Linked DNA regions of Caenorhabditis elegans. The protein of the gene in region 3 purifies or fractionates together with the protein of the main gene of each other region. This does not show direct contact. Each region holds a gene or a part of one and is shown on either strand. Other genes may lie near its edges.

Region 1 (8,931 bases), on a different chromosome or scaffold from region 3:
GGATTCGCTTTCGCTTGGCTCGATATTGTCGGACATAGAAACGTGATTGGACGTCTTTTGGCAAACACTGGCATTGCTGAAACCGTCGATGCTGTGAAAACGGCAGCCACTTACACTCAATTGATCATTTCTCATTTGAAGTTCTTGGCTCCATTCCTTCGTAACATTCAATTGCCAAAATCGATTGCCATTCTGTACAAGGGAACACTACGTGTTCTGCTGGTCATACTTCACGATTTCCCGGAGCTTCTTTGCGAATTCCACTATGTAATTTGCGATACGATTCCACCAAATTGTGTGCAACTTCGCAATTTGATATTATCAGCGTATCCACGTCAAATGCGCCTTCCGGACCCATTTGCATTGAACTTCAAACAAGTTGACACAATTCCAGAGATGGCAGTGGAACCGAAGTCCAATTTAAACATGGCTACAATCATACCAGATAACATTCGAATTCCATTGGATGAATATCTTGCAAATCGTATATCTGTCGATTTCCTTCCAAACCTGCCGACTCTTTTGCAAACTCAGAATCAAGCCGGTACCAAATACAACACTACTGTAATGAACGCTCTCGTTTTGTACGTCGGAATCAGAGCTATTGAGCACTTGCACTTGAGACGTCAACGTATCTCAACGCTGAACATAGCTCATACATCGTATATGGACATTTTCCAGAATTTAGCAATTCAATTGGATACCGAAGGTGAGGTTTTTCGAAAAACGCTTTCAATTTAAAAATCTAATTTTCAGGACGTTACCTTCTTTTCAACGGAATCGCCAATCAACTTCGTTATCCAAATGCTCATACACACTACTTCAGCTGTGTATTTTTGTATCTCTTCAAGAACTCTACAAATGACACAATTCAAGAGCAGATCACACGTATTCTGTTCGAGCGTCTTGTAGCTCTCCGACCTCATCCATGGGGACTTCTTATAACGTTCATAGAGCTCATCAAGAATCCAACATACAACTTCTGGCGTTATGAGTTCACCAGTTGTGCACCAGAAATACAGAGGTAAATTTAATTTATTATTCTCTTAGGCAAATGTTTTATAATCCGATACAATTGTCTTACTATGTTTTCGTAGACGATTTACAACAATATTTCTCTCAGATTGTTCCAAAATGTTGCCAACACTTGTGTCCCAGCCCAAGGATCTCAGCCACAAGCACAACCAGATGGTGCCCCAGGACCTTTAGGAAACAATACCGGAGCTGCTAATCAACAGCAAAACCCAAACACCAACTGATTTTTCTCATCTGGTCTTTCGGTTCCCGATTTTCTGATCTTTATTCTCATCACATTTTTGTATTGGATAGCTTCTTATGTCGAAATACGGGCTGTTCTTGATTTTCTCCTTGTTTTTTCCCTCTTCATTTTCTGCTCTCCAAATCATTCAAACACGGGGCTTCAACACAAACTCAAATTTTTGAGATATATACTACCCCTTTCGCAATTTTTGTAGCTTTTTTAAATTTTTATGCGTGATGTTCGATTATTATTTTTGTTTTATTAATATACATATGTTCACACTAGAATCTCTGCCTTTTTTCCTCGTCCCCAAAATTACCCTTTTCATGCAATTTTTAGATTAGAATAACGAAAAAACGGCTTGAAGTTAATGATGGTTGAATTTTCAGAAAGGGTGGTGGTCTTTTTCTGTAAATTCGACGTTTTCTGCCCGCTTTTTCGTTATTTTAAAGACTTGTACATCCGATAGATCGATTGCGCCATTTTCGACGTATTCCTCCGTGTATAGAAATCTTTTTAAATTGTGTGAAAACATTTAAAATCGCGCTAGATGTCTTTGTCTATTTATCGTTCCCATAACCTTTTTTCAATTTTGCGTCCTTGTTATCTGATATCATTACGATTTGTAGAGGTTTCTCTTTCATTCCCCTTTTACCAATTCGCAATAAAGAACGCGTCATTTGATATACTGAATTTCCAAATTTTTATTAACATCACAGATTTGGATATTACGTAATCATCAGAAAGATATAATTTCTACATTTGTAGCGCGTAATATCTCATAGCGACTTTCTACCGTATAATTGAACTGAAAAATAATTAGTACGGTAGAAAGTCGCTAGAAGATATTTCGCGCCACATAAATAGGAACTCTTTTAACGGTTTTGCAAAGACTTTCTATATACTGAAACAATTGTGCAACTTAAATTTATTGAACAACGTCGGGTTCGGGGGATATTTAAACGTTTACAAAATAATGCAGAATGGATAGTTTGATGCTTCCAGAGGAGGAGAAAAGTGAAAGGTCTAGGTTAAAAAAGAGGGAGTCGTCAATTATAAAAAAACATAATAAATTTTCAAAAGGAGAACGGAGGACTGAACCGTGAGGGAAAATCGAAGAAAATTTAGAAAATGGGAAAAGTCGAGATATTGTACAAAAACAAGGCAGAACAAAAAATGAAGATTCGAAGAAATCATCAGTTAATTTTCGAAGCATTACTATAGAGTGCATCGACAACCTCTCCCATTGCATGAATTGTATCCAGAGCAGTTTGGTACGCCTCATCGGGAACAGCAATTTCAAATACAATAAGCATTCCCTCGCCTTGATCAAGAGATCCCGAAAGTTTTTGATCGAGAATCATTTGGGACAACTTCTTTTCGACCTGAAAGTTTTATAAGTTTGTGTAAAAATTAACAACTTTTTTGCATTTATATTTAAAAAACAATATTTTTGGTTCTTACCTTTGATCTATCAATTCCAATCTGTTGAGCAACATGTTCAATTTGAACGAATGAGTATGGCTCAATAATACGGCACAGATCTTTTTCAAGCATTCGTTCACTCAAAGAATGGAAATGTTTTCGGACAACTGGATCCATTTGAAGTTCCTGTGGGAAAGAACCGAATGCAACTTGGAAATCCTTAAGAGATCTCTTTTGTGCAGCTGCGGCGATCGCCTTCATCGCATCCAAATCAGAACCATTGTATTTAAGAGCAAGTTTTGCGGACAGAAGACTGTTCACCTCATCTGGAAGGTCAAGCATCACCTGAAAAATTTAATATAGGATTTAAATATAATAGTAATTATTTTTGAGTATTACCTTGCACAGAAGCATATACTTAAGAGCGGTGAGGGCGGACACTTTTTCATCAACCGAATCGTATCCCTCAAATGCTTCGTAAAAGTATGAGAAAGCTGTCTTGAAGTCCTTCTCGTCGGCAGCGTGAAGAATTCCCGATTGAAGATCGAGAGCTGCTTGCATGCGAGGATTCACATAGATTGCGTTGGCAGTTGTACGAGCACCAGTGAGAGAAGCACGAGCACGACCAATATTGGAAAGATTATAGTACGCTTTGCTTTCCTCAAGTTCGACTTCCACGAGAACGTCCTTATCGTCGACTTTTTTCAGTTCACGAATCAAATCGGCAGCTGAAAAGTAGATTATCAGTTATTTTCAAATATTACAGCGAAATATATTACCAAGTGGAAGAGCCTGAGTGTATCTTTGAAGATCATTATAGAGGCGAACAAGACGAGCAGTGAGTGTTTGACGGAGGAAAGTGCGATTTTGCTCGGTGGCCCATTGAATACATTCTTTAACGAGTCCAACCTGAAAATAGTTGGGTTTATATTTGAAGCTTATTATTCTGCTCACCTTAATATCTCCATCTTGATCATCAATTTTAAGACATAGATCAACAAGATCTCTGACAAGTTTTGCAGCCTTTGCCTTTCCCAATGACACCAAAAATGGCCTCGTTTGTTCAATCATATTTCGGAGCTCTTCAGTTTGCTTATTTTGAGCCAAAATATTTCCCAATTCCATGATCGAATCTTCTTTCTTCTTGATATCATCGTCCCCAGATGCTGGTGATTTTACTTCAATTTGGGACAAATTGGAAAATTCTGAAATATGGAAAAGGACTCACCGAGATTGGTGAGGTGACGAATGACGTTTTGGTCGTTTTGATGTGGAAGTGAAGTCATTGTATCCATAATGGTTCCTCCAGACATTTCAGGTGCTGAAATTAAGATTTTAATTGCAGTAAAAAGTATTGAATTTTATGGGGTTATTCAAGTAATGTAGCAAAATGTATTAAAATACATTTGTGACGTCACAAATGTATTTAAATACATGTTTTTGTTTACTTGAATACAGCTGTGACGTAACTTTTCTACACTTTTTAATTTTCCGACACTACTTGAATAACCCCATTAAAAATGAAATAACGGAATGGAAATTGTCGGAGCCTCAGAAATCAATAAGTGCTTGCGGAAAACACACCAACTGATTATATCATTTTAAAATATGATAATTATCATTTAATTGATCAATTATCAAAATATAAACGGATAAAACATTAGAAAACTGGTAAGAAACAGAGAGTAAGACAATGACGATGACAATTCCCGCCAGCGTATTTTTCCCGGTGTGGTACGGTACACAAATGGTGTTTGCGGACTTGAAGGTGACGCGAAAATGCACAGAACAGAAAATTCAACAAAATGTTGTTTAAAATACAAATAAAGCTTATTTTTTTCGGGTTGATTAAAAAAATTCGAGTTTATTAAAAATTTACTTTCTCGTAACAATATGTTCTTCGTTGTGGTTAAATTGCACTGATAAAGACCAATAAGGTCAAGCCGCCAGTTTAACTGAAAACGGGGAGCCCTGAAAATAAAGAGTTGTTTTCGAACACCAGCATCGGGGAGCTGACTATGAGCAAATAGCGGGCTCGTATGTAAAAGAGCGGTTAGCACGTGAATTTTTGAGAGTCCTCTTGGGGGAAAAGTGGTGAATTTTAAAATGCTGTGTGGAGATCCAAAAAAAAATCAATGCAGGCATGCATGAAAAACAGGTTGATCAAAAACTTATTCTTTTTTGGAATACAAAATTGACTTTAAAACACCAAGTGCAAATAAATAATATTGAATTAACTCTTTTTCACTTTCAAGAGGTAAAGTTCAGTTTTTCAATAAAAAACGTACCTTTTCCAATATTATTAGTGTCTTCTCGTGAACTCGTTTCTCTCATTAGGACGAAAAGTTGTGTCAATTAAAATAATTTTTTGAAGCAGCTTCGAGGATGTCAAAACTTCAATGTAGATTTCTTTCATATATTTCTGAGCAGCTGACTCTCATTTTCAACTAAAAAACAACTAGTTATTTGGCACATGTTCTGGGTCTCGCCACGACTTATCCCCAAGATCCAATACATTCGTTTCAGAGAAATCTCACTTGATCCCTCGAAATGTTTGTCGTTCCTCGTCGTCTGTCATCTTTTTTATCACTAGGTAATTGATAAATTAAATGATTGTATCATCTCACACTCTAACCGTCTGGTGTCTTTTCATCTCACACGATATATGTATTTCTCTTATCATCTGTTTCTATTTCCTACGGTCATTCGGTCATATTCAGTTCACGAATATCGTCACTTGGCACGTAGATCATACGTTATGGAGACACCATCTATTGATATTCAAAGTGAGTTTATAATAATTTTTTACCAATAATTCTTGATTTTTCAGACATTCGGGCAAAATATCTAAACTCTCATGATCCATATCTACTCGAATCAAAGTTACCAACCACGTCACCATTCGAACTTTTTGATATCTGGTTTCGTAACGTCGCTTCACAATCTGACTTAACATTCGAAGAAATCAATGCAGTATCCTTATCCACCGTCGGAAAGTGAGCATATTACATTCAAAATGGAGAAAAAAACCTAGAAAGTATTAATTCAGAGATCTTCGTCCATCATCCAGAATGGTTCTTCTGAAAGCGTACACACCAACTGGCTTCTCGTTTTACACAAATTATACTAGCCGCAAAGGAAATCAATTGGAAGAGAATCCGAATGCCGCGATGCTCTTTTATTGGCCTAAAGTCAATCGTCAGGTATAATTTTCAACTGCTGAAAATTTGAAATCGAGATTATTTAATTTCAGATTCGAGTTGAAGGTGTTGTTGAGAAGCTTCCAGATGAGATGGCCGTCGCTTATTGGAATTCTAGACCAGTAGCAAGTCGAATCGGATCAAAATCAAGTGATCAATCAAAAGTGGTTCCCGATAGAGAATTCTTAGAATCCAAAAAAGTTGCACTGACAGAGTTATCTGTACGGGAAGGAGCTCAAGCAATCACGAAACCAGAATCCTGGGGTGGATATCATTTGATTCCTCGATATTTTGAATTCTGGCAAGGACAATCGGATCGTCTTCACGATAGAATAGTATTCGAAAGAGATGTTGATGTGTGGCTTCTCAAGAGGCTTTCACCATAATTCCATTCACTTCTATAGTTAAAGTTCGTGTAGATAAAAATTAAAAATATTTTCCTTGAGAAATACGTCGTATTTATTTATGAATTAGACCATAAAATTTTTTCTTACCAACGGAATTACTTCAACAAAAAATTACAAGTTAAAATGAATCAAATTAATCACAATGTATCCTGTTATATTCTTAATCACTTGTGAATTAGTTCTCGAATTATAATTTAAAGAATATGTATTTGATTCTTTAATGATCATTTTCATTTCCGAGTTATTTCAAATCAAAATGTCAATTGAAAATTTCAATTTGAAATAATAGCCCATAGAAAGGTAGGCTATCATTTTCCGAGGTTTGAATAACTTCAAGAACACCGCTTTTGAAGTTGTATTTTTTAGAGAAGAATATAGAATTAAAAATGCTAATAAATTGCAAAATTGTATTATTTACAGAAACAAAAATAAATGGTACATGATATTTTGAGAAAAACAGGGGAATGTTTCAAGAAATAATATTGGGACGAATATTGAGATTACACGAGTATTTAAAATACATGAATTGACTCGCAAAATGGGGAATTGATATACAAAGTGATAGCTTAAGTGAACTTGAGATAATCTGGTACGTAAGTAAATATATAATAATTATTATGCTGAAAGTGATAATTTTCTGGTTTTCTACGAACTTTTACAGTAAGCTTATCTGGAAGGCCTTCAATTTAAACCGACTTCGGTGCAGCATCTGCTGGATTCGTATCTTCTGGAGTTTTTCGTGTAGTAGATACAACCAGAGGTGACGATGTTTGGTTTGGCGATGGACACGGGAGAATAGTGTAGATTCGACGCATTTCTGAACCCAGAAGTCCTTGCTCTTTGATTTCCAGATATTTTCGGTACAGCTTCAGTGCATATCTCGCATCAACCACCGAGTCGTGAGCTTCCATTTGTATAGTTTCGCCTGAAAAATTTATATTTAAAATCTGAACCGAGCTAGACAAGCGAAGTTAAAGGAAAGGCCTCACCAAGAATCTCCTTAACCAGAAACTGCAATGATAACATTCTCTGGGTGCCAAGACGCATCAGAGTCACTGTGTCGATTATCTGTGATTCTGCCACCTGAAAATTAGCTTTTTAGCTAGAACTTTGCAAAAACAATCTTACATGCACATTGAGCACTGTGAAATCATTATGCAGAGCGTGTCCTACAAATGTGACTCCTCGTTGAATCAAAACATGCATTCGTAGAAGAAGCCGCTTGTGGGTTGTCAAGTATTTCTCGGAAGTCGTTGGACACAGATCAGCTTTCACGATTCCACTGAAAAAAAGTGAATAAAGATTGAATTCGAAATAAGTGAAGCATACCTAAACTTCGTGAGATAGTCGACAACTTCTACGTCATCAGTGAGCTTCACGTGATCGTCGAATATGATCCTTTCGCCTGTCGAGTCGACACAGGAGGCTCGACCAACTGCTCTCATCTGCACGGTTTTTCCGTCGAATTCAAGTAGATCGGTCTGTAAATTGAATTTTTTTTTACTAAATTCCGGATTTTTAAATATAGGGTATTCGAAACTTAGTTACTTACCTTAATCTTTATAAACTCTGCATCCAAACCGACTAATTCCTTCTCTTTCGGCAGCTCTTCCAATGATTGAACGGCCAATGACGTCATCCCGTTGCTCGCCAAATTTTCTTCCGCGAGGAACAAATCATTGGAAATAATATCCTCACTCGTTTTCACATCGAAGTTCTTCTTTTTATAAGCCAAAAGCGCGGGAAGTTTCCATCTTCCGTCTATGTGCCTTGCTTCATGATCATGCAATCGGCTCACTAGCTGCTCATTGATTAAAGTCCAGGACGATGAAATAACGGGACTTTCTCTCAACAATGTAACTGGATGAGTCCAATTTACATCGTTTTCTCCATTACCAACAGCATGAATCATCGCATCAAGCTCATAAATCACAGCAGACGGCTCATCATAGTCTGGGAGATCCGAAACATCAGACAAACGAACAATCCCCTCGCAAAGTTGAGCAGCGATTCTGGATGGAATGTAGTGTGCCCACTCTGGTAAATCCACGTCTTCAAGAAGTTTTGTCTGTTCTGCAGGCCAATCGACGAGTCCATGAACAAACTTGCATGTTTTCCTAAATTATCAAGATATTTTAATATGAACAGAATTACAAATTGAATTACTTGTTGCGACAATCCGTTCCAAATCTGCAATTTTTCTTCTCAGAAGGTGACTCTGGCACCGTTCCTAATGCAGAACTTCGATTGCCTCCTGGTTTTCGTTCAAAGAGAGATAATTGCCGACGCCAAAACTCAACAAATCCATTCGATGAAGCGTTTGTGTCAATTAGAAGAACGGGGGAGAGCTCCCGAACTTTTCTCTTACACTCCATTCGGCTCTGAAATTTGAATTGTTTATTTAATTTTTAAAAAAATGGACAAACCATCTGCTTGCAGTCTTCACACTCAATTTCTCCAGAATCATCTCCGATATGCAATGACTTTTCAATAAGTTGGCAAAGCGATGCTTGATAAACTGGAGCATAGTTTAGTTTGAGAAGATGATCCGTGACAGATTCTTGCTGCTGGAGTCCCCGACAACGAATACATCGGAGATGACGATCGAACTTTGAGCAAATTGAACCCGAAGCATCTG
Region 2 (8,075 bases), on a different chromosome or scaffold from region 3:
AAAAACCGAAGATAGTGGATGTTGTTGAGCCCAGAGTTCTGACAGCTTGCTTCCCACAAACGCTTACTCGTGTATGTTTGACAGGAATTTACCTGACTGAAAGCCTGATTGACCACATGGTTTCTCTGAAAAACTTGGCGAGCTTGGACATGGTTGGATGTTTGGTCGATACACGTGCCGGTGCCAAATATGTTCCAAAACTTGGTAAGCTTCAAACTATTTTAATTTAATACTGAATATCTATTTCAGAACAAATGAAAAACCTCGATGATCTGAGCATCCCTCCATCGATGTTCTCTCTCACTTCAACAGCAAAGACATCAGTTGATTTTAACTTTCGTCAGCTGACAGTTTCGAAGATTTCGATTTTTATGGACCAGTTCGAGGATGTCACTTTTTACGATCAGATCAGACATTTTTTGCCGAAAAATCTCCAATGTCTTGTGATTTTTGGAAACTATGGTCCATTGAAGAAAAAGAACCGATTGAACGCAGTCAAGAACTTTGTGGTATGCTTATTTTCTTGCAGTTGGGGAGTTTAGCATTGATATATTTCCAGATTCTCCTCGGTCCAAACGCTCCACTCAGTTCTTGTCCAAAGGAAAATCTGGCTAATGTGACCATTCTATCGCATTTGGTCCGTCGTCCACCATACATTCCGACGACAAATAGTTCAAACTTTTTAAGACGTCACGTGAGTACTCTAACTTTTTACTAGGTTTCAAGTCTTTATTCCAGGATGTCTCAGTTGGAAATCTATCCTGGCAGTTTAGCTTGGTTGAGTGGAAGAATAACAATGGAGCCAAGAAAGATGTGATGGCGTTGAGAACTCGTCTGAATGCGGCTCCAAATGAAGATTTGGTATTTGAGGGAGTCGTTATTGCACCGCCCGTGATTCGTGAGAGATTGAGAGAGGTAAGTCGAGGATCCAAGGATCCTTATAAACACAATTCTAAGACAATGCACAAATCGCGAATAAACTGTGAAACAAAAATTCTTTCAGAATCGTCGCATGCCGATGCAACACCTTGTGCTTCCAGTTACTCCTCCGTTCGATGAGCCTGATGATCCTGCTCCACCATTGCCAGTTGCACCTCCTCCTCTCCATGGACCGAACAACAACGGCAATGGACCAGCTCAAAATGGAAACTAGCACTGATTTTTTGTCATATTCAATAAAGCATTGAGAGCAGACAACGAGAAAAATGTGTGCATATTCAGTATCTACTGATTACAAATTAATAAGAAATTGATAAGAAAGTAGTGAGAATCAACGTTTTTTGGTAATTTCAAAAATCGAATTATTTTTCTTCAAATAGATTTTATTTGGTGAAAATCCACTTTCTATTTCCTCCTAGCCTAGAACCTCCTGGTTTTCTAAATCCATAGATCAAACCATGTTCAGCTGATGTCCTTTGTGTGTTCCTTTATTTCCCGTCTGCGTCTCTATACCATGCCACACAGTCTAGTTATTACACCACCTGCGTCTCTAGGTACATTTTCCCTATCTCGCATGGCATCATTATTCCTAAACATTTTCGGGTTCAATCATTACATATCTGTATATATTGTATAATTTATTCAAAATGTCATGCTTCACCTGCTCATCGTTTTTTGGCAGACTACCAATGGAAACCGATGATCCGATACTAAAGCGATTGCCACGTGGCGCTAGACCGTGGGCGGTACTTGTAGGTGGTGTGATGTGTATGGTGACTTTTGGAATCGTTTATACTTGTGGTAGGTTTTAAATTGTTATAGAATCTAGAAAGATTTTGTGAGATCAAAACAAATTGGAGAGCAAATATTTCGGGAAAACTTCCAACATTTCTTATTAAAACTTTGTAACCGTGAGTAATAGGAAAAATTGTCAACTAGGAAAACAATTTTCAATTAATTCTAAATATTTTATCAGTTGACAGCTTCTCGATTATTTTCACAGTTGACAAATTATGGCGGTTTAAAAATTTAATGGGTGGGCGGCGAGCTTTCTCGGTCTCGGTTAATCTACAAAACTACCAATTTCGGTGTGATAATCCTTGTTTTCAAATTTAAATTTATTTTTATAATATAGAAAAATATTTTATTGATTGGAAATTATTAAAAAGTACCTCGAATACTACTTGAAAGTTGCCATTTGTTGGAAAAAACTGGGTTTTCTTTTGAAGAATTTTTAATTTTGGAAAATTTATGAATTAATCTGAACAATTTGAAGCATTTATAAAATTTCCAGGTAACCTTCTACCGTACCTTGTCTCGTATTTCCGATGGAAAATGTATCCAGATATGAGGACGGGGCAATTGATTTGGTTGCAGACACTTTTGAGTTTGTTTTTTTCCATACTTTCAAGAAACCAGACATTTTGAAATTTCAGGCGGTCTCCCGATGGGAATGGTGATTGGTGGTCTTGTAGAGAGAAAGTTTGGTGGAAGAGCTGGTGCACTTTTAGGTTCAATTATTTATACGTGAGTTTAAAAAAAGTTACAGATCGCGATGCACCATGTGCTTAACAAAAAATGATCTGTATTGTTACAGAATTGGTGTTGGATCAACATTCTACTCAATTCAACACTCCTACGCCGCAACACTGCTTACGATGGGAGGCATCGCAAGCGTCGGAAGTAGCATTGCCTACAGTTCCATTTTGCCAACTGCTCAGAGGGTAATTTTTGAAATTTTTTGTTGTAAATCTTCAAATAAAGTCTTGATTTCCAAAATCTAATTTTTTTTTCAAAACCCCTAACCTCTGCTAATCTTCAAAATTTCAGTGGTTCCCTGACAATGTCGGCCTAGCCGGAGGCATCATAATCGGTGGATATGGATGTGGTGCATTCATCCTGTCACCCCTTCAAACCACTTTTATCAATCCATTAGATTATCGTGTCAACGATCAAGGATTCTTCACTCAAGAGGATCTTTTGGAACGGGTTCCCTACGTTTTCATCGTGATGTCCATCTTTTTTACGGTTTTTCAATCGATTGGGCTCATTTTTATCGGGCAACCGGAAGGCGATATTCACGTTGAAACGGAGAATTTGATTGGGACGAACAGTGAAATTCGCGTGGAACAGGCGAGGGTTTGGCCGCAGTTACGGTAAGTCCTGCCGCGAGGCATTATACAGACAAATAACGGGTTTTTTTTTCAGAACCACAACTTTCCTAGTACTATTCCTGTCGTTGACATGCAATGCCGTTTGGGTCCAACTCACAAGTGGTCTCTACAAAGCTTATGGGCAACAATTTATCGATTCTGACTTCTTTTTGAGCTTGATCGGATCGATATCCTCGATTTTCAACGCTGGGAGCAGAGTTTTTTGGGGTGCAATTGCGGATACGGTTATTTTATTATGGAGTCGCAGAAAAATTCGCGCTACGCCCCCAAGGGTCGGGTCTCGTTGGGTATTGGCGACAAAACAGTTAAACTCTAAAGAAATACCGAAAACATGTTTTTTAAAAATTCTTACCGCTAATACCTAACGAGACCCAACGTTTGAAGGCGGAGCGGTCTTGATTTTCCAATAATTAATTTCAAATCAAATTTTCAGACATCCTATCAATTTTCCATGTCGATTGTGTGCAGCCTGGGAGCAGTTTTGGCATTTTCGATGCCACTGGTGAAAATGGTATCCAATGATGTTCTGTTTTTGGCCACCGTTCGTTTTTTTCTTTTTTTTTCTCATTGAAATTACAGTTTTTCAGGTTTGTCTGATGTTTTCCTGCATCGGAGGCACATTTTCAATCTTTCCTTACATCACGCACAAGTGTTTTAGTAAGGCGAATTTCAGTGTTATGTATGGATTTTTGCAGTGTGCAGTGGTAAGTGGAACTTATTACCGGGATGCGAAATTTTCCGGTTTTTGTGAAAAAGCACCCGGTCTTGACACGACAAAATTTTGTTAAATGCAAAGGGATGTGCGCCTTTAAAGAGTACTGTACTTTCAAACTTGCGTCGATGCGGAATTTTTATAAATGAAATAAAACATTTTAAACACATACATTTAAAAAAATGTGAGAAAAACGATGAAAATGTCGCAGTAGCGAAAGTTTGAAACTACAGTACACTTTAAAGGCGCTTACCTATTTGTTTTTAACACAAATTTCTCGTTTCGAGACCGGGTACCGTATTCGCGAATACATGAATACATTTCAGAGTGTCGCCGGACTAATCGCTGGACTCATTTCAACACATGCTCTTTCTGAAATCGGATTTGAATATCTTTTCATTGTTTGTGGATGCTTCATGTTGACCTCACTTTTCCTCACTTTTATCGTCCACAAAACCGATTTAGCTCAGTTGTTGGTTTCTGCTGAACGAGAACATTTGGAAGAGGATGAGAATGGATATCAAGTTTATCAGTAATTGGTGCACTCATGTTATAGCTTCTTATCAATTTCCTAGAAAATCAACTCAAACCTGTGATGATCCATTTGTTTCCCGTTACCTCTATCTTACAACTTGTTCCATAAAATTGTTTCTTCAAAAGCTAGTAATACACATTGAGCACGTATACGTTTACTATCAAACCGAAGAGTGAAAGGATGAAATCGATCGACAGTATTAATAAATTAATGATAAAACCGGAGAAGGTGCACGAAAAAGAAGAAATTGGGGAGGGCGAACATCAATAAGAAAAATACACATGATGGCGGAATTATACACAAAAAAGTGGTTAAATTTATGCCCGTGGGGCCGCGAGATCCAAGTTCTTGTGAACCATTTGCTCTTTCAGAATGAGATGGGAAACTTTGTTCAATGTATCCGTCAGTTTGTGCACGTTGCTCGCCCATACATCCAATTGCTCAACATTTGCCTTTTTCAAACGAAGATTGACAATACGGGAAGGGCGATGAAGTTTTGCTCCGGTGATCTGACCGGTAACAATGAGGTTACACACAAATGATTCCATTTCATCAACTGGGAAGTCGAGGAGCTCAGCGAGACGTTCGAAAGTGATTTGAGTATAGTACTTGGCAATCATACGCATGTTCTGTAAAAATACAAATAAAAATTTATAAATTTTAACAGGTTTTTAACTTATTAAAATTTTAACTTACGTGCTCTCCAACACGAAGGTGCAAATCAGACCACCGCTTCTCTCCTTCAGTTGATTTGTCGAAAATTCCGGTGTCTGGTGAGCTAGTTGTTCCACGTCTTAAAAGCTTCTCGTACTTTGCGACAATGGTTCCTTTGAAAGAAATGAGTTCTTGGTTGATGAAAAGATCCAGAATGATCTGAAAAGAAAACAATAATTAGATTAAATTCAAATCGCACAGCTTACCTTGTAGTCTGGAACGGTTTCCAATTCTCTTTGAATGGCAATTCGGTTGAGGAGATCCCATTGCTCGTTTGTGTGCGGAGCCAAAAGACAGTAGACAATGGCAGAACGAAGATGTGAGGTCGCCTTGGCTGAATCAGCTTTAATCTTTTTCGTCTCATAAATTTCACGATGATGACGGCACACGTCCAGATAGTTTCCATCGTGAAGTCCGATACGGATCATCGAATCGTAGTATTTCAGCTTCAGGTTCTGTACTTCATCTTCGTCTGACTTGTTGAAGAACTTGATATTGATTTTCTTAGAGATAATAGTGGCTCGCACAAAATCATTACGAACGAGAGAATATCTCATTTGCTCGAGAAGGTATTGCACCTTCTCTCGCATTTCCATGGAGCCATATGTTTCCACTTGAAGTTCAAGAAGCATGGTTGCAGCTTCGTCAAGCTTTCCCTCTCTCTCCAACTTCTTCACAACCATCGAGGTGAGGCGAGCACGTTCCACTTCCACATAGATCTTTCCAGCTGTAACAGTGCGAAGAGTTTCAATAAGCTTCATCTTGAGGTCCTCGGTTGGCATTTTGTCAATCATTGCGACAGCATCACGGACCATCTTTGCGATAGCCATTTTGATGAGAAGTCTTTTCTTTGAAAGCGTCATGATTGTTTCCATAAGAAGATCCCATTTCTGCCCTTCGAAACAAAGCTTCGTCTGCAAATATCAGAATTAATATTTTTTTTTTAATTTGAAAAGTATTATCACCATATATTGAACAACGCGTGTATTGCTCTTCATGTCAGCTCCAAGACGAGTGAGCTTTTCGATGTTGTTCAGACTCTCTACAGCAGCAACAGCGTCCTTTTGAGCGATATCTCGGGCTTTCAGAAGTGCTTCGTCGACTTGTTTCGAGTAGTCCTGCTCCATTTTGAACAAACGACCATCTCCACCCTGAAAATCATTTAATGAAATCTACAGATAAATTCTCGAAAACGTTTTAAAACTTACATGAGCGGCCAAATGAGCCAAATTGTCAAGTTCGCTTAGTTCTCCGACATCGACCGGGTCAACCGGGATCGGTTCGCGTCTGTCGGCCATATCTGGAATAACAATAATTAGAATATATAGTTCTGCTTTTTTAATTGAAAAATAACTTCAAAACCTATAAAAATATTACTTTTAAATGCACAAAAATTTTAAAGGTAGAGAGTAGAAAATAATTATTTCTTGAGTGACAATCCGCACAGCTGAAACGAGTGTTACCGTACCTCAAATCGCGGTAAGACCCAGGAGGAGGAAGACAAAAATATTTGAAAACGATTTTTCGAGCGTTTTGTCTTCATCATCAGAAATTTACCGCATTTTCAATGTTTGCCTCATTTTAAAACTATTGCTTCTCTCATTGTGATCATTTGAACATACTTATTCTTCCAGTTTTTGCTCTTTTATCATGTTTTCTCAGGAATTTTCTAATCTATGATCTCTTTGACGTTAACAATCTATTGTTTATCTCATGCTATTTTCAGATGTTCTATGCACAGTTCGTTCTCGCCAAAAAGGGACCGTTGGCAAAAGTGTGGCTGGCAGCTCACTGGGAAAAAAAGCTGACAAAGGCGCAAATCTTCGAAACAGATGTTCCCCAAGCGATCGAGGAAGTCATTCGCCCCAAGGTTAAAATGGCGCTCCGAACAGTTGGACATCTTCTCCTTGGAATCGTGAGAATCTACTCGAAGAAGACACGATATCTTCTGGCTGATACAAATGAAGCGTATCAAAAGGTAATTAAAGATAATTTAGAACGACAAAAACAAAGTAAATTTTCAGATGAAGATTAACTTCCGCAACGGATTCAGTTTTGAAGTCGACATTCCAGAGAATGCAGAAATTGAAGAGGATTTCTCAAACTTCATTGATAAGTACAATATCACAGTGCCCGAGTTCCACGATGCCGACTACAATGAGCAGCTCATTATGGTGCGTTGTATTAAAAGCAATTCACATTCAATTTAATCGCTGTTTCAGGCTAATGTGAGCCGTCGTGAAGACATCACCATGAAAGAAACCGTCAATTTCAATGTCGAGTTCAACATTGACGCAGATTTCGATGGGTTCGGTGACGAAGGAGAATCTTGGCAACTCGATCATCTCTACGGATCGGTGGAACCTTTGTCTTTGCGCCCCACTCCTCAGCCAGAATCGTTGATGGAAGTCGAACGAGATCGTGATGTGGCTGCAAATGGAACGGAAATTTCCCGTATAGATGCGGATAGTGTGATTTTCTCCGAAGGACCAACACGTCCAAATCTTATTTTTGACAATCAGGAAGGCGGAAATTTCATGCCTGAAATGAACCTGAAGGTTGAGAATCAAACACTGGAAAACGATGGTGGTGTTGGGCCTGCTGATATGTTCAGCTCAATGATTCATCCCGTCAGAGAGCATGCTGTCGCAGATGTTCAAAACGACGATGGTATGGACTTTGACTATCAACCGTTCGAGCCTGAAAACGTTGAGCCATCGAGACCACAAAGTCCCGAGTCATTTGCCCTGGAGCCTCTAGATGTGGAGCACATGGAAGGACGGAAAAAACGTCAGAGAAAAGCGAGAAAGCTGATTGTCGATGCTGAAACTATGATTTCAAACGACGCTTTCCGAGAGCAACAAGAAGACTTCTCCGATACGATGCGAGTAGTTGAAATGGCGCCTCCTACCAGAAAGATGTTCAATTTATGCGTCAGCGGAGATCTTCAACACCTCAGCCGTGAACCTGGATGCAAAATGTTCAACAGAGAACTCCTTCA
Region 3 (8,790 bases):
ATTGTGGACATGGTATTCAGCAGAGCAAGTTGCAGCCAAGTCAGACTCCCAGTCATCTTCTGGGATGGATGTAGAAATCCACTTTGAAGATCTTGGTTTTGGTTCTGGAACAGCAGTTCTCATGCACTCAATCATCTCGTCTTGAACAGCTAGCATTGCTGGGGAGTGGAATGGAATTCCAGATGTATCAACAACCTTCGCAAAGATATCCTTCTCCTTGAGTTGAGCACAGAATGTAGCTACACCTTCAGCATCTCCAGAAATGGTAACCGAGTCAGCTCCGTTGTGGCAAGCGGCAACAACTCCAGGTGGAGCTTGTTCCTTAACCTGCTCCCAAGTCAAACCAACAGCAGCCATAGCACCCTTAATTTCAGTGTGCTTCATGATGGTGGTTCCACGATGATAAGCAAGTCTCATTGTTTGCTCACGAGTAATTCCTCCGTCAGCATATCCACATCCCATTTCTCCAGTTGAATGACCAATTATTCCATCTGGTGAAACTCCGAGAGCAGTGAGAACATCAGTCAAAGCGATTTGGATAGCAGTGATGGCGAGCATGCAGTTCATAGTGTTGTTGGAGTATTGTTCTGGATCTGGATTGCAGAGCATTCCGTAAACATCAAGTCCAAATTCTTCAAGGGTCTTGCTGGAAGCACGAAGAGAATCATCGAACATTGGAATCTTCATGAGCTTGATCGCCATTCCAGGCCATTGGGATCCCATTCCAGAGTAAATGAAATAGATCGGACGAGCTTCAGTAATTGGGACCTTGGTGATGCTCTTCAAGGTCTCAACATTATTTTCTCTATCCAAAAGCATGTATCCACGGAATGGAAGAAGGTTGGCTGGCATGTTAGCCTGATTGGCCAACAAAGCTTGAAGGTAGAGATCATCCTTGTTACTCTCAATTTCGGTGAAAATGTTTTCAACAGCTTCTTGAGTTCTTCCACAGTAACTGAAATATTTTACGTTCAAAACTGTTCTGAATCTAGAAATATATTTTTAACTTACGTGACAAGTTTGGTGAATGGATGTGGGGTGATTGGTGGAGCTATATGATCAGCAGCCTTCAAGATGACGTGAGTGTTAGATCCTCCGAATCCGAAAGAGTTGATTCCAATAAGTCCTCCTGGAAGTGCAGTTGGCTCCGTGACAACCTTCAAGCGCCCGTCGGTAAGTCCCGGAATGTACTGATTTGGAGTATTGTAATGCAAATTTGGTGGAATCAATTGACGTTCAATGGAGAGAAGAATCTTGGTCAAAGAGCAAACTCCAGATGCTGGCTCAGCATGTCCCATGTTAGATTTGACTGAACCGATTAAAAGAGAATCAGTACGCTTGGAGCAGAAAACTTCACAGATTGCGTTGGCTTCCTGTGGATCTCCGACCTTAGTTCCAGTTCCGTGAGCCTCAACGTAGTAGACTGAGTTTGGATCGATTCCAGCCTCAGAATAAACTTCTTGAAGCAATTGAGCTTGTCTTTCTCCTGATGGGAAAGTGATTCCATGCTCCTTGTGCCCTAAAATTTAAATGTTTGAGAAAAACTCATGTTTTAATTCTGGAAAAAACTCACCATCAGTGTTAGACTTGGCGTGAACAACAGTTGCATAGAGTCTTTGAGCCTTCTTCTTGCGTTGAATGAAGATGGCTGCAACTCCTTCAGTACGACAATATCCATCACCAGATTCGTCGAATGAACGGCAGCTTCCCTTATCTGTGAGCATGCCCAATCTCAAGAATTGGAGAGCTGCAGTTGGAGTCAATGTGAGATGAGCTCCTGCGACAATAGCGGCGTCGCATTGACCCTGAATAATTAAATATTAGAATAATTTTTCATCTCAGATTGAAAGTAGAAATCATCATAAATTGAACTTGCATAAAAAACAAAGCAACGAACCTGTCTAATAGAGTCGACGGCAAGTTGAAGTGCCAAAAGTGAAGATGAGCAAGCGGTGTCCACCGAGAAAGATGGTCCTTGCAAATCGAATGTGTAAGAAATACGGTTAGAGAACATAGAACGCACACAACCCGTCAACGTGTAGCCCGTTACAGTATCTGGGTCTTGTGTGAGCATTCCAGAGGTTTCTGAAGCTGAACATCCAACAAAAACTCCTGTTTTGGATCCACGGAGGTCAGTGGGATTTATGCCTGAAATTTGAGTATTATTATTTAATTATTCCTTTTTTGTTTTTTAATTGAATAAGCACTGTTCTTTTCCCAATTTCTTTATTTGACTTGTTCAATATTCCAAAATCATAAAAGTGGAACATCCTACTTGCACGGGGTCAGTAGTGCGCGCGCATGACGGTCTCAAGGTTACCACCACAGCCCGGTACATCGGGGCACACTTTTTCCGATTTCCGTCTCCTTTTCCGAGGGAGGGATATAGATAGAGAATACGAGAGAGAAAAATGGACATACCCGCATCAACCATTGCCTCCCATGAAGCTTCAAGAAGTAGTCGAACTTGTGGATCCATGAAATTTGCCTGTTTTGGAGTAACTTGAAAAAAGCCCGCGTCGAATTTGTTCAACACTTTCAGTTTTCCATGTCTTTTTGGCAGATCGCAAAATCCTGGTGTCCATCTGAGAGAGTCTTCCGTTACCAGGTCTTCACCAGCAAGAAGCATGTCTCCGAACATTTTGACGTTATCGCATCTGAAAAAATTGGAACGTTTGACATATTTCAGTAAAATCGTGAACGGTTTCCGCAAAAACTTAAAAATAAGATTATTTAAAATTATTTGTAAAATTCTTAAAAAAAGTATATTTTACTTTGAAAGCTTAAATATCGGATTATTTTAAACATATCAACGGATGATCATTTTTACAGTTTTGTATAGGTCAAATTAAAATCAAATATTAGCAGTAAAAGTTGATGAGGTGCAGTTCTAATAGAGGAAACGGTAAATGTGATATTGTCAGTACTTTCAGATGGGTTTATTACATTACCCAATTACCGTTCTCATCCGTCATCAAAATTTTAGGTTTCAAAATAGATGTACCTTGGAAATCGGCCCGAGACTCCTGAGATTACGATATCGTCCTGCTTCTGCCACCATTGTGTTGGATCCATGTTGTCCGAAGACTGAAATTTTCAAAATTAGTTACAATTTTAAACCGTTTGAATACAAATCTAAGAATCGAAATGTGATAACAACCATCAAAGTGGTTCTATGAAACTTATTGATTTTAAAATCTCGAAATAGAACCAGACGGACAAAACACAAACACATACGCTCACTTGTGAATGAGGCATGTACTCAGAAATGACAAAAGAAGAGGTGAAGGGAAGATGGAAGAAAAGAAGAAGAATAAGATGACAACCGGACAACTAAGAAAACTAGGAAAACGAAGAAGATGCGGATACGGGCGCTCTGCTGCGCGGTAGAGATGGTAAAAGATAAAAAGAGAGGGACACGGGAACCGTCGAGACATTCGACGATCCGTTTAGGTTCTACGACGACAAATTTTCTAATTTTAGGGTAACAAGAGGTGAAAATTGAATTCCTTGGTTACGGTATCTTCCCACTCACTGAGGGATGTTTTGAGATATTTCAGAGTAATTATCACATTAAAAATCACGTCATACGAGTTTTATTCAAAAAGTGCAGTACTTACTCTAATCTATTTTAATTCAGTGTTTTTCTCAAGTTTCAAGATGTGTTCTGACACTAAAACAAAAGAAGTTGTTTGATTTATGACTGTAAGAGGAATGTATCTTTGTAGCCACGTGAAAAGTTAGAACTAACAATTAATTTTTAGTCAACTTTGAAAGCATTTATCTTGGCTCATTTTACTGGTGTCAAAAAATAATTAACTACAAAACTGTAGAAAATTAAATAACTAATAGTTTGTCAGTTGGTAATTTTTCGATAAAACAAAAGACAAGCTTTCAAAGTCAAGCAATGGTACAAGAAAAAATAATAAAGTACTCGCTGAAAGACCTTCTAGCATTTTCTCCATCAGACACTCATTGTGATTTATACTTGAAAAAAAGAAATGTTTTAGATTGCCAAGTGTGATAATTTGAATAACAAGTGGCGTGATTCATCTGAATTCGCTCACTCCATATTTATACCGATTCAACTATTTCATAACATGATGACTTAGATCACATGAATGAGCTAATCAAGACAATGAAAGTGATGACATTAATACCGGATCCATTCGTGCTTCTTCTTGTCCCGTGAGATAGAATCGGGTAATATCTAAACGACGAGACCGAGGCATTTCCAACATTCCATGTTAATCTACAAAGAAGAGAGAAAAGAGAAATAATAGGAACTCAAAGAAAGGTCGAGATGAGGAGAAGAGATTATCGATAGGAGAGGTCCTTTTTGCAGATGTGATGTCCCTGAGTTGTCCGTCGTCTTGTCAGTTACTGTGTGATCTAATCTCGGGGGCCGATACTGTATCTGATTGCTGTCGATCATCGTCCCTTCACCCGACACGACCCGACAAAAGTATGACGGAAAAAAGTCGCGGAGAAGTAAAGGAGGGAGATGTTTTAGGAAAGATAAACGATTGGGGATACAAGAAAAAAGAAGAAAAAGACGGAGAAAATGAGGAGAACAAAGTTTTCGGAATGGCCGCATTCTTTCGATCTGTTGCGTCTTTTAAGCCATTCCGTCTGCTCTCAGAACAGTGGGCGGAGAGGAGCAAGAAAAAAGTGACTGTACAAAATGAGATTGAATTCTTGAAGAGAGGTATAGAGAAATACAATAGAGGCGACTATAAATAAATATGTGAATTCACCTGAGAATTGTCCGAAATTCGCTCCCAAGTTCCACTCGAATCGGACGATCCTTCTCCAGTATTATCCATCGTTCGATAGCTGAAAAAAGGTTTATTTAGAGAGTTTTCAACAATTGACGAACAAATTAATAAGATTAATTGAAATAATTAATTATTGTTAAAAGTGCTAGAAAATAGTTATATCTATGTTTGCCTCTACCGTACTCATAGATAACATCTAAAACTGAACAAATCACAAAATTTCTTTCGATAAACCTGAAACTGTTGACATCATAGAGGTCAGCTACGTTCAGAACCGGTTTTTTCAACCATGTGTGATTGAGGTATGTTCGACCAAATATGAGTAACTTATTAAAGACGGGGTTTGAAAAGTAGTGAAGTATTCATTCTTATTTAGTCAAGTGATGAAAACCTTGAGTTTTTCGCTCAGCTGTATTTTGTTTCACCAGCAGAATTAATTCTAGATAATTTAGTTGAATTTAACGATTATCAATGCACTAGAAGCAGAATTTAGCTAAAAAAGAATCACAAAGTTGGGAAAAAAGAAGAAGAAGAAGTGTGTACATCTTCGTCGTTCTTTAACCATTCTTGGACATGGACTACACAAGAAGTAACAAGTGAAAGATGAATGGACGGGATGGGGGCGGTGAATCGTTGGTGGTTTTCGACAATGTCCTATCCGAGAGAATAGTCATAAAAGAGACAGAGATTCGACCTTGGGACATGATCGCATCGATGTAAACGGTGACCAAGCCCCGGGAGAGGAGGTCAGAACCTACTTATTATCCCCTCGTTGCCCCCTTATTCCGGCGATGTGGAATGTTTGTGTTCCCACCGCAACGAAAAGTTGCATTTGTGGTCAAACACGCCGTTTGCAGTTTTTGCAGTTCACGTGATTCTCTAATGAATCTTGAGAAAACGAAAAGAGAATCGCCAATTATTTTAAAGAATCGTCGGGACATAAAGGTGTTAAGTCAATCCCTTTTAAACAGATTGGAGATGACCCCATTTCTACGAAACAAGAAGATTTTGCAGCTAAAAGTTTAGAAGCACTTGATTGGTTTTTTTGGGGGAGAGAATCTGGTTTCGATGGAAAGGCAAATATAGTGCATCTGATCTTACTGATTTTGCACGATTATGATCAAAAATTGGCAGATTCTGAACTAAAACCATTTGATCTTTGTTTGCAAGAACTGCACTTTAGATATAATATTCTACATTTTATTTTGCTAAATACCTGGGACGAACGAGGTTACAGTTTTTGTGGCCGGTATTGTCATTGTGTGGGTTTTGGCTCATTAATTTTGATTTATCGATTTCAAAAATAGCTCAAATTTTGCATAATTCCAAGTGAAACGCCTATTGATGAAATCGTACCGCCACTTCGAAAAAAAAAAGAGAACTTTTGGAATATGTGTGTTTAATTAAATAATGTAATTTAAAGCCGACTCTGCTACTGGCATAATCTCTTAATAAATAATAAATAATGTTGCTAGACTGAAAGTTTGGAATTTTGTTGGTTTTTCACTGAACATCTATCCCTTCAAAGTGGCTTATCGCTGCTTTCCGTTCAAAACTACTCACAAAAATAATTAAAATGATTAAAAATAACGTATTAAAGTTTTTCAAAAAATTTGAAATGTTTTTATTTACAGTCAAACATTGGCAATATTTCAGGTTTCACATACTTGGAAATTAGCCAAAAACTATATTCAGGTTTTTTTAATTTAAAAGTTTCATGCGGGTTTACTCTACATATATTTCTTCAAAATCCTAACTGTTTCAAACAATATGGCATTGCCAGAACTTTGACTAACTTTTTTCGAAAATCCAAAATACTTAAAAAATTTAATTGGTTGTGCTATACTATTGTGGCTGCATTAGAACAAAATTCCCACAAACGCTACTCAATCTTCAAGAATTTTCAGAATTTCAATTATCTAGACGGAATGAAAAAGTGGCAAGCGGCGGCAAATTTCACAGCATCATAAAAATTTTTTTTATGATTGCGTGGGATGTTTGGCCAAGCAAAAGAAATTGTACAGAAAAAAATTGAAGAAAAATGGAAAAGAGGAAGATGGAAAATGCTACTTTTTACATTAAATTCAAAATCAAAACCTCCTCCCAATAACGTAATTGCCGCCACATTCTGGTTCTTCTATCATCAATTTGAAAATGTTTGAATAGGACCACACTTTAGAGACCGTTAACAATTAGAAAAACAACAAAATAATACTACAGTACTATATAATTTTGATGAAGAAAATAAACGTTTTTGAAACTAATTTTTGACTACTTTTTTGTTCCCATGCCTGTTAACATCAAGTGTTTTGAAAATGTTTGACAAACTATATGCTACGTCACAGACCAAGGGTGGTCTGATTGTGATCTATTCATCTAGAACAACCATCAGTGCAAACTACTTCGCCAACAAATATGATAACAATTCGTGACGTTGACAAACGGATGTTTGACGTAATTTTTCTTTGAATCGGGAATCGAATGTTTCTTTGGACAATTATATCCGTTGATTTAAATAAAAGTTTTGCAGGAATTCGATGGTTTAATTGAACAATCAGAAATTGCTCTTACTTTCAGGTGGTTAGAGTCAAAAAGAACATAGTATCTACCAAGATCATTTTAGTTTTACGGTTTTTTTTTCAAAATTTCAGATGACTATAACTGAAAATCAATGCAGTTCACAACAAATTGTCAACTATTTGTTTCAAATATTTTTGCCGTTGGTAAACTTTTTCAATTTTACTACAGAAAATGTCTTTTTAGTCAGAGTCAAAAAGTGGAAATTACTCAGCTTTACTTTTTTTTGGAAGTCAACCAAAAAAATTTCTATGAGATTAGGGTTGTTTTTTTTTAATTAAAAATTTAAAAGAAACATCCAAAAACACTTCTTAACTCTCAAAGAGTCCAAATTAAAAAAAATTAACAAGACTAAAAAAAGGTATAATTCACAAGTAACTGTTTATGTTTAAAAAATGCGAGCCGAGTAATGGGTTATATTTTAGTCTTTTTTTTTTAACTGCTAAACTTTTGTATCATACTCATTGGAAAATTCAAATAAATCAGTAAAAACCAGACGAGAGATCAGAAATTTGGCAGGTAGTGTTAAAAAATAAGATGTTTAGCCTTCCGTGTAAATAAAATAATTCAGGATTTGAGAAAAATCTTTTATAATGTCGGAATATCGTGAAAAAACCAAATGATCAGCTTGCCGATATGTGCTGGATCGATTCTTATCGCCACCCATGACGCATATGTTTAGATTCATACTGCATACTATAACTGGCTCTATTAAAAAGAAATTTCATCTTTTTGAATCGTATATCTAGCTTGCTATTGAGAAAAAACTCGTTATTTTTAGACTTATCAGATTTAAATTCATCGAAATGCAGAGAGGTGGGTCTATGAGTTTATGCCAGCGAATTAGATAAGAAGGAAGCGATATGTTGCCTCTATTTGGTTTCAAATGATCATCAAAACTAACAAAGTTCTAAAAAATGCAGTATTACGAAAAGTTCCTTATTTCATTTTATTTTTAATTGTGATATTTTCTTTTATTGCTACATATTATCCACTGACAATGCACAATGAGCATGACGAGGAAGAGGTTTTCAACTTTTTTTTTTAATTTAGAACTTTAAATCCTGACAAGACAAGGAATATTAGATATACCCACACTTTAAATGCGCCATAGTTCCATTATTACTAACTGAGCTGAAATACTTCAAGCAGCAGAGCTCCAGTAATTTCCTAACTGAAATTAGTTCTGTACACTACTTCACTTCACTTGGTTCATAGAATAACTTTAAAAGCTGTTTTCAAGGGTGGTCAGTGTATAAGAAAAGGAGCTTTTGAAAATTTTATTTATTTAAAAAAAACTCATTTAAGAATTGACAAACACGTTATAGAGTTCTACTCCGAAGCCCGCTAAAAACAGCATCAAAAAATGTGAAAATTGTTTTGGGGCACTAAAAAAGACTCAAAAGTAGTGAAAAAATCATTAGGCAAATTTTCA
Region 4 (6,772 bases), on a different chromosome or scaffold from region 3:
GAGTTAATAAGCTTTGAGAAAACCAATTTCAGTTGAAAGAAGGGTATTTCGAACATTACGATCCTAAATGTGCTCAAATCAACGAATTTCGTGATGAGGCTTCTCAAAAATGCTTTTAAAATCTCGGAAAATAGGAGATTTTAGCCAAATTTAGTCTTTTTTTTTTAATTTTGAACCTCCAAAAAAACCAAAAAAATATTGAGAATTTTTTCAGAAGTTTCAAACGAAATTCGTTAATTTGAGAACATTTTGGCGGGGTCAGAACGTTCACAATCCGCGGAACCATTTATATTCCTTCAATAATTATACCTTCAAAATGTGATAGTAGACGCTACTACCACCAAAGTCCACGTGGAAATCCGTATAAGATCCAGCCATTCCTGCGAGACAAAACTGTTCCACTTTTGGTCGCTGATCTTCTGGAAGATATTCTTCTCTCTGGAGGAGTTTAATGTACTCCGCTCCACTGACATCAGGCCACAGGCGGTTGACCATTGAGATTTCCTGGACAAATCTTGGCGGCTTAGCGATTTCTTTCATCCTGGAAATGTTAATTAATTAATTTTTCAATTGTTTTCAGTTAATAAACTCACTCATTATTGTCCGAGAATTCAAGGGACAGAAAATTGTACAAGAGTGGTCTGTTTTTAGTGTCGCGAAAAAGTTTTCTGAACGTATCAAGCTTCATCGAATAGGTGCTCTGATTATAGACATCGATCGTGTCCACTTCATAATCCGATCCCATAATTTTCACAACATCCTCCAAATCGAATCCAGGCTTCGGCATTGTCATATTGAGGCCGTCCATGTCTTTGACCATAAAAACTTTTCCCCAGTTGTCAGCTCCTCCGAGTTTTTCGAATTCTCTGCGGAATTCGTAGCCATCTTCGACAATGCAAACCTCATCGTCGGTTCTAAAGAATACAAATTTAATTTTAAATAATCTTTAAGGGAGGTCTGGGTTTTTTGCTTGTTTAGACTCAAAATGTGCCGGAATGAACGAAAAACATTATTATAGGTGATAAATTCAAGTTTTTTCGTTGATTTATGTACATTTGAAGCCAATAGGTAATCAAAAAAGGCCAATTTTAGTAAACTGACAGCTCAGAATGTACCAAATAAACGAAAAATGTGAGAAAACGGCAAAAATGGGAGTTTTCAGCTGAGATTAACTCTTTTTCTTGAAATTTTTGTGAAGTCTTCGTTCATTTTGGCGTATTTCGAGTCTTCACAAATAACAACCAAGTCATCTTTTAATGAAAATTCCCTTACGGTGAGGGAACAGTATTTTCTCTGGTGATGAAATCCTCAATCCAAGTTTTTGAGCCAACTTCAATTCCGAGATGCTTCTCGTTCGGACTGTACCAGCGATAACGATGTGGGGCGACGACTTTGTATCCTAAAATAATAAATAAATATATTTAATTGCAAGCTATTCGATGAAAAAACTTACGAATGCTATGTCCGGTATGTGGAACGCATTTGGGGCAGAAAAATTTCTCATACAGGTAATACTCAAATTGCTCGAGGCCTGAGCACAGAAAATGGTACCAGGTTTGGCAAGAGTCACAGCCAATCCATTGGAAGTCATTTTTCTTGTGATGGTGAGATTTCTTCTTGCTCATCAGTGGCTTTTCCTTTTCCTTCTTCTTTTCCTCTTCAAGAGCAATTAGATCATCTTCATGAGTAAATTTTCCGCATCCTCCACATCGATCCGATTCCTTTGGAGTTTTCTGCTCTGGGACATCATCTTCTTCACTGTCCGAGTCCACCTCAAGCTTCAATTCTTCTTGAACTTCTTTCTTTTTTGTTTTCATTTCGTCGAAATTCGAAATTGAAACGAAACGGAATGGAGGCTGGAATAAAATTTGATGATATTTATCAATTAATTTTTTTTCTTCATTTAAAAGTTCAGTATGATATTGCCACGGGAAATTTGAATTTTTTCAAAAATTTATAAATTTATAAATAAATTTTTTTTGAATGAAAATAATCTTCCACATTTCAGAATAAACCATACCTCAGATCCGTTGCTGACGTAGTTCTGATTTGACTCCATCTTCGGCGCTTCCGCTTCCATCTTGTTGCTCATTGCAGCCTGATTATCCGATGAATCTGTCACATGTGGCTCGATTTTAGGCTCGCTCTTCGGATTGTGCTGCTTTCTCCTCGGATCTTTTGGAGCGCCCATCTTGTTGTAAGCTCTCGCCTGGAAAATTACGTTGAGAAATGGAGGAAGTTCAGTGAAATCGGAGGTTACACTCACTTTCATGAGCACTGATTCTATCGCAAAATCAACCGAATTCTGAGATGAGACTTTTTTTAAAATTTTAAATGAATAAAACACTTACTCTATCCATTTCGGAAACCGATTCATGGGAATTGCCATTCAAATGATTTTGAGGAGCTGCGACGCTTGCTTCCTGTAATCAATATCATTGAATAATCGCAGAAAAATAAAAAATCGTACAGAAACTAATGGCGTTTGATGCTCAGTAGAGGAAAGAGCCGGTTGAGAGGCTGTGTATGACATTCCTGGCTCGCCGATTGCCGATTCGTGATTCTTATGGTCGGAATGCTGATCCATCATTAGAAGTGCTGATTGGTCTCGAGAAAACTCGTTTTTTTGTATATTTATATCATTACCATCCATTTGGAATGTGTAGATTCTGGAAAACAACGATTTTTAACGGAAAACTCGAAAACTTCAACGAATAGTCGATTGAAAGGGAAACAACGGACAAAATAACATGAAAATAGCTTCGAAATGTTTAAATTTATTTCTGTTACAACATTTTTCAATAAAAAACTCCAGAAAAATGATGGAAAACTGAAATATATGCTGAAAAAACTGTAAGCCTCGAGGAGATGTGAAGAAGAAGAGAAACGAGACGCAGCATGCGAAACAAGAGACACTGCGAAACGGGGGAACGTGAGTCGCGATGAAATTTACGAGTTTGTGGGATTAAATACTAATTAGTAGATAAACTTTAAGATGAAAATATCAATATTGATTAGTTGAATTGATTGCAATTCTGAATACAAAAAATTTTTAACGAGAAAATCAATTTCTGCCTGTCCACTTCCGGGTTTTGGTGTCTCGCATTCACCGTTCACTCGCTTCGCAGTGTCTCCGTCTTTCTCACCTTCCGTATTCTCACACTTGGCACGTAGCCAAGCGGCTGGTCTCGCAACGATTGTTTTTGTTTTCCGTCAGCCGTCTCTGCGCCTTTAACCTCTCACAGCCTGCCGATTATTTTTTAAGCAGATTTTTACTATTTTTCAGCTTTCAAGCTTCATCCATTAGCAAAATCAAATAATTTTTTGATTCATTGTGTAGAATTAACGATTTTCGTATAGTTTCTGTTTTTATAACCGCCTGAATCGTATTCTCTGTTTCGTTTTCTATGGATTATCATGCTTGCTCAATTACTCTGTAAATTTAAACGATTTATTGCAGGATGCTGAACCGTGCTGTGCTCTCCTTGGCTAGAAGCCAACATGTCATCCGTCGCTCGCTTCACAAGGGAGTTGACTCGACCCCACCACTCCGTTTCACCTCTGTCAGCGAGAAGGTAATTTTTTATTTGCTAAATGTCTTGAACTTATCCTTGTGAGCAGTAAAACTTAAAATACCACTAGCTCACCAAAAAAAACTAAATTTCAGTTTGTACATTCGTTTGAATGGATTTGAAAAATTAATTTCTGAACTAAAAGATACAGTTTTGAAATTTGTCTCACTTTTAATTTAGCTGCTCAAAAACATATTTATCCAGATATCCATATTATTCACTATAACACCAATTTTTTCAGGTTGCCCTTTACGGACTCATCTGCGTCGCTTTCATGGCATACCCAACTTCCGTCCTCTTCAGACTTGATAGTCTTCGCCCAAGACCGGATAATGCTCTCTCCCCAGAAGTCCAAGAAGAGATTGACGCCCGTGTTGCCGCCCGCAGACAGTAGAAGTAATATTATGCCACGAGCCATTGTGTAGACTTTTGAGAACAACAATAAATCGATTCTTGTTTTCTCTTCGCTTTTTCTCAATTTTATTCGCTGTCAAATGTGGTTTATCCATCCATGAAAGATAAATGTTCGATTCGGTTTTTCATTTAGAATTTTTTTGATAATTGTTTTAAAGATGGTACGTCAATTCACCTGGAGAGGAACGATTTCTCAGCCGTTCGCGATTAAACTTTTCAAAGGAATTTGGAATTCACATCCAAGATTCGCAACTCGAACAGTAATGGTGCAGAACAATGATGTCGATGGAGCTTTCGGACTTCTTAACAGGTTTTCTTTGGAAAAATTCCCAGAACATAATTTCAAGATTGAAATAATTTCAGATTGATGGATTCAGAAGGAATGCTGAAAATCATTCGCCGCACTCAATTCTATCAGAAGCCCTACATGCAACGAAAAACACTGTCGATGGAAGCATCAACGGCGATTTTCAACGAGGACATGAACCGGAAAATGAAATTTCTCGTTCGAAAAAATCGTCCCGACAAGCATCCCGGACAAGTGACGTCCTAATTTCGATCTCAGAAAATAGTTGTTTTGAGTTTTTTGTTTTGTTTTGTTTTACAGCAATAAAAGTGTAAATTAATTGAGAATTTAGAAACAAGGATATTGGTTTTAATGTAAAAAGTTGAGGATCGTCGGTATGGATTTTAAGGATTGCACACGTAGAATGAGGAGAAACAGGCGCCGCAGCGCCCGCGGGGCGCTTGTCGCGGCGAGACCCGTGCCGGAGGAAAATGCCTGCGCCTTTAGTTTGCTACTGTCTCTCTCACTCCGCTGTCACGGGAAAACATCCCATTCTCGGGTCGCTGCGCTCCCCCGAGAAAAGGTTTTCCCTTGTTCCTAGCTCCGTTCGAGAGAAATGAGGTTTAAGGATTAAGGTATGGATTGCAAGGGAAGCCAAACATGGAAAAACCTGATCAATGAATTTTTGCGGTTTTTAGTCAAAAATACAGTGACAAGTTTCGACAATAATTTATAAATAAGAAAACGCATAGAAAATAACTAAAGTTGAAACTACTGTACTTCTTAAAGGCGCATTTTTATTCGTTTCGAGACCTGATACCACATTAAAGGCACACGCTGCGGGTCTCGCCACGATCTCAGTTAATGTGGCTGTTACACGTGATTAATTTGAGGCCCCACGAAAAGGGGAGCAGAACGAAAAGGGGATCTGCAAAAATGGGATCTGCGAAAAGGGATATACGAAAAGGGGAGCTGGCACTGTGCCAAACGCACAAAACGCTTTTTTATTCTCATCCAACGCACGACTTTGTTATAACCACACTCCGTTATTACGCATCGCGCGTTGTTTAGCGAAAAATACAAAAAAAAAGTCGTGCGCTGAATGAGAATAAAAAAGCGGTTTGTGCGTTTGGCACAGTGCCAGCTCCCCTTTTCGTATCTCCTCTTTTCGCAGATCCCCTTTTTGCATATCCCCATTAATTTCAAGTAATTGTGTAGAAAACTAGCCGAATTTCCAACAACCTAACAAAATTCGAAAAAGGGATACAGAAAAATGCGACTTTTGAATTTGAGGTGCAAACGTGCTCCAACGCCATAATGAAAATGCTCCGCCTCCAGACTTTGGGTCTCGTTAGGTTTTGGCTTGTATATAATCAATTTGGACATTAAAAAATAATAACTTGAAACGTTTGTTTTTTTTATTTTGCCGCCAACACCTAACGAGACCCAACGTTTAGGGGCGGAGCGTTTTCACCTGGAGCGCGCTTGCACCTCGACCTCAATAATGCGCATTTTTCTGCGCTTCCATAATAAATTGGATTAATCCCTTCTCGTGTTCCCCTTTGATATACGAATCCAATATATCCTTTTTCGTTTCATTGCGCAACTGTTCTTCCTCCATCTCGCTGTCATCCAAAACCGCCATCGAACATGCCAAACTGCTTCCACACCTCGTTATCCATACATGCAACCACACAAACCGGTTTTAGATTTAGCTTCTTGTACTTTCCCCCATCTTCGTTCTATAAAGACATCGTCCACCGTCACTTTGCCATTTCTTTCCATTTTCGTCGTCTAGAACTATGACTGTAGACAACGCGGCGATTGCCACCTGGACAAGTGTCCTGGTGAGCGTTGCGTGCATCTCGTTTTGTGCATTTTTTGCCGCTTCGGTGTGTGAGGATATCAATCAATTTTTGGATGATTCCTTGTTGAGCTTCAAAGAGGGACAGGGACGAACTGATGATGCTTGGAATGAGGTGGTGTTCTTGAATGACAAGAAATTCAAGTCAGAGCTCCTCGTCAGCAACTCGGCCACCGTTCGTCAGAAGCGTTCCGATCTTCCGGCTCATTGTAGTAAGTTTTACAGAGGATTTTTAGACTGTAGTATAATATACAAATGACCGTGGAGAACGTGGATAACAGTACTTTTTGTACTTTTTTAGACTGAAAATTTAAATCGCACATTCAACTTGAGTATAAATTTATATATATCGTATTATTAGGTGAAAATTAAATAATTTACTGCTAAAAAAACTGAAACTTCTATTAACCTGACGCGAAATTAACCGATTTTGTCGTAATAATACGGTACCTGGTCTCAACACGACAACATTTCGTTAAATGCAAAAAGGTGCGCGCCTTTAAAGAGTACTGTAGTTTCAAACTTTCGTTTATTCAGATTTTTTTCATTTTTTCCAAATTGGTTTAAAAACTGCATTTTTAAAAAAGTTTTCATATAAATACATTTATTTTTATCAAAAAACTATGAAAAATCGAA

Evidence for each region.
Region 1: the proteins of fasn-1 (region 3) and rpn-6.1 fractionate together in Caenorhabditis elegans (co-fractionation; one large-scale study listed by BioGRID). This does not show direct contact.
Region 2: the proteins of fasn-1 (region 3) and rpn-5 fractionate together in Caenorhabditis elegans (co-fractionation; one large-scale study listed by BioGRID). This does not show direct contact.
Region 4: the proteins of fasn-1 (region 3) and F29B9.11 fractionate together in Caenorhabditis elegans (co-fractionation; one large-scale study listed by BioGRID). This does not show direct contact.

Annotation. Positions count from the first base shown.
Region 1 is NC_003281.10:6,956,934-6,965,864, forward strand, and holds rpn-6.1 (putative 26S proteasome regulatory subunit rpn-6.1), read right to left. Parts: upstream 5,069-8,931; 5' UTR 5,021-5,068; coding exon 4,975-5,020; intron 4,008-4,974; coding exon 3,915-4,007; intron 3,865-3,914; coding exon 3,641-3,864; intron 3,596-3,640; coding exon 3,466-3,595; intron 3,415-3,465; coding exon 3,086-3,414; intron 3,032-3,085; coding exon 2,726-3,031; intron 2,647-2,725; coding exon 2,458-2,646; 3' UTR 2,177-2,457; downstream 1-2,176. Other genes in the region: CCR4-NOT transcription complex subunit let-711, read left to right, coding at 1-709, 757-1,024, 1,124-1,259; F57B9.1 (Putative pyridoxamine 5'-phosphate oxidase), read left to right, coding at 5,445-5,472, 5,517-5,682, 5,736-5,889, 5,940-6,272; PolyA-specific ribonuclease subunit panl-2, read right to left, coding at 6,980-7,218, 7,283-7,376, 7,422-7,575, 7,623-7,774, 7,846-8,410, 8,460-8,674, 8,720-8,928. UniProt on the Caenorhabditis elegans protein: Component of the lid subcomplex of the 26S proteasome, a multiprotein complex involved in the ATP-dependent degradation of ubiquitinated proteins. In the complex, rpn-6.1 is required for proteasome assembly.
Region 2 is NC_003280.10:4,691,921-4,699,995, forward strand, and holds rpn-5 (PCI domain-containing protein), read right to left. Parts: upstream 6,375-8,075; 5' UTR 6,373-6,374; coding exon 6,283-6,372; intron 6,226-6,282; coding exon 6,040-6,225; intron 5,989-6,039; coding exon 5,281-5,988; intron 5,234-5,280; coding exon 5,057-5,233; intron 4,990-5,056; coding exon 4,678-4,989; 3' UTR 4,501-4,677; downstream 1-4,500. Other genes in the region: F10G7.5 (MFS domain-containing protein), read left to right, coding at 1,587-1,740, 2,234-2,326, 2,376-2,466, 2,537-2,663, 2,770-3,095, 3,148-3,337, 3,547-3,654, 3,701-3,817 and 1 more; scc-1 (Sister chromatid cohesion protein 1), read left to right, coding at 6,801-7,052, 7,099-7,248, 7,297-8,075.
Region 3 is NC_003279.8:8,981,697-8,990,486, forward strand, and holds the start of fasn-1 (Fatty acid synthase), read right to left. Parts: upstream 4,845-8,790; 5' UTR 4,827-4,844; coding exon 4,758-4,826; intron 3,088-4,757; coding exon 3,005-3,087; intron 2,658-3,004; coding exon 2,422-2,657; intron 2,149-2,421; coding exon 1,898-2,148; intron 1,806-1,897; coding exon 1,574-1,805; intron 1,520-1,573; coding exon 1,012-1,519; intron 956-1,011; coding exon 1-955. Other genes in the region: F32H2.8 (Nucleotide-diphospho-sugar transferase domain-containing protein), read left to right, coding at 8,242-8,382.
Region 4 is NC_003282.8:4,656,890-4,663,661, reverse strand, and holds F29B9.11 (Cytochrome c oxidase polypeptide VIIc), read left to right. Parts: upstream 1-3,460; 5' UTR 3,461-3,461; coding exon 3,462-3,575; intron 3,576-3,813; coding exon 3,814-3,966; 3' UTR 3,967-4,031; downstream 4,032-6,772. Other genes in the region: jmjd-1.2 (JmjC domain-containing protein), read right to left, coding at 310-541, 594-914, 1,273-1,399, 1,454-1,856, 2,021-2,305, 2,352-2,423, 2,471-2,653; mrps-21 (Mitochondrial Ribosomal Protein, Small), read left to right, coding at 4,145-4,296, 4,350-4,539; col-111 (Nematode cuticle collagen N-terminal domain-containing protein), read left to right, coding at 6,075-6,348.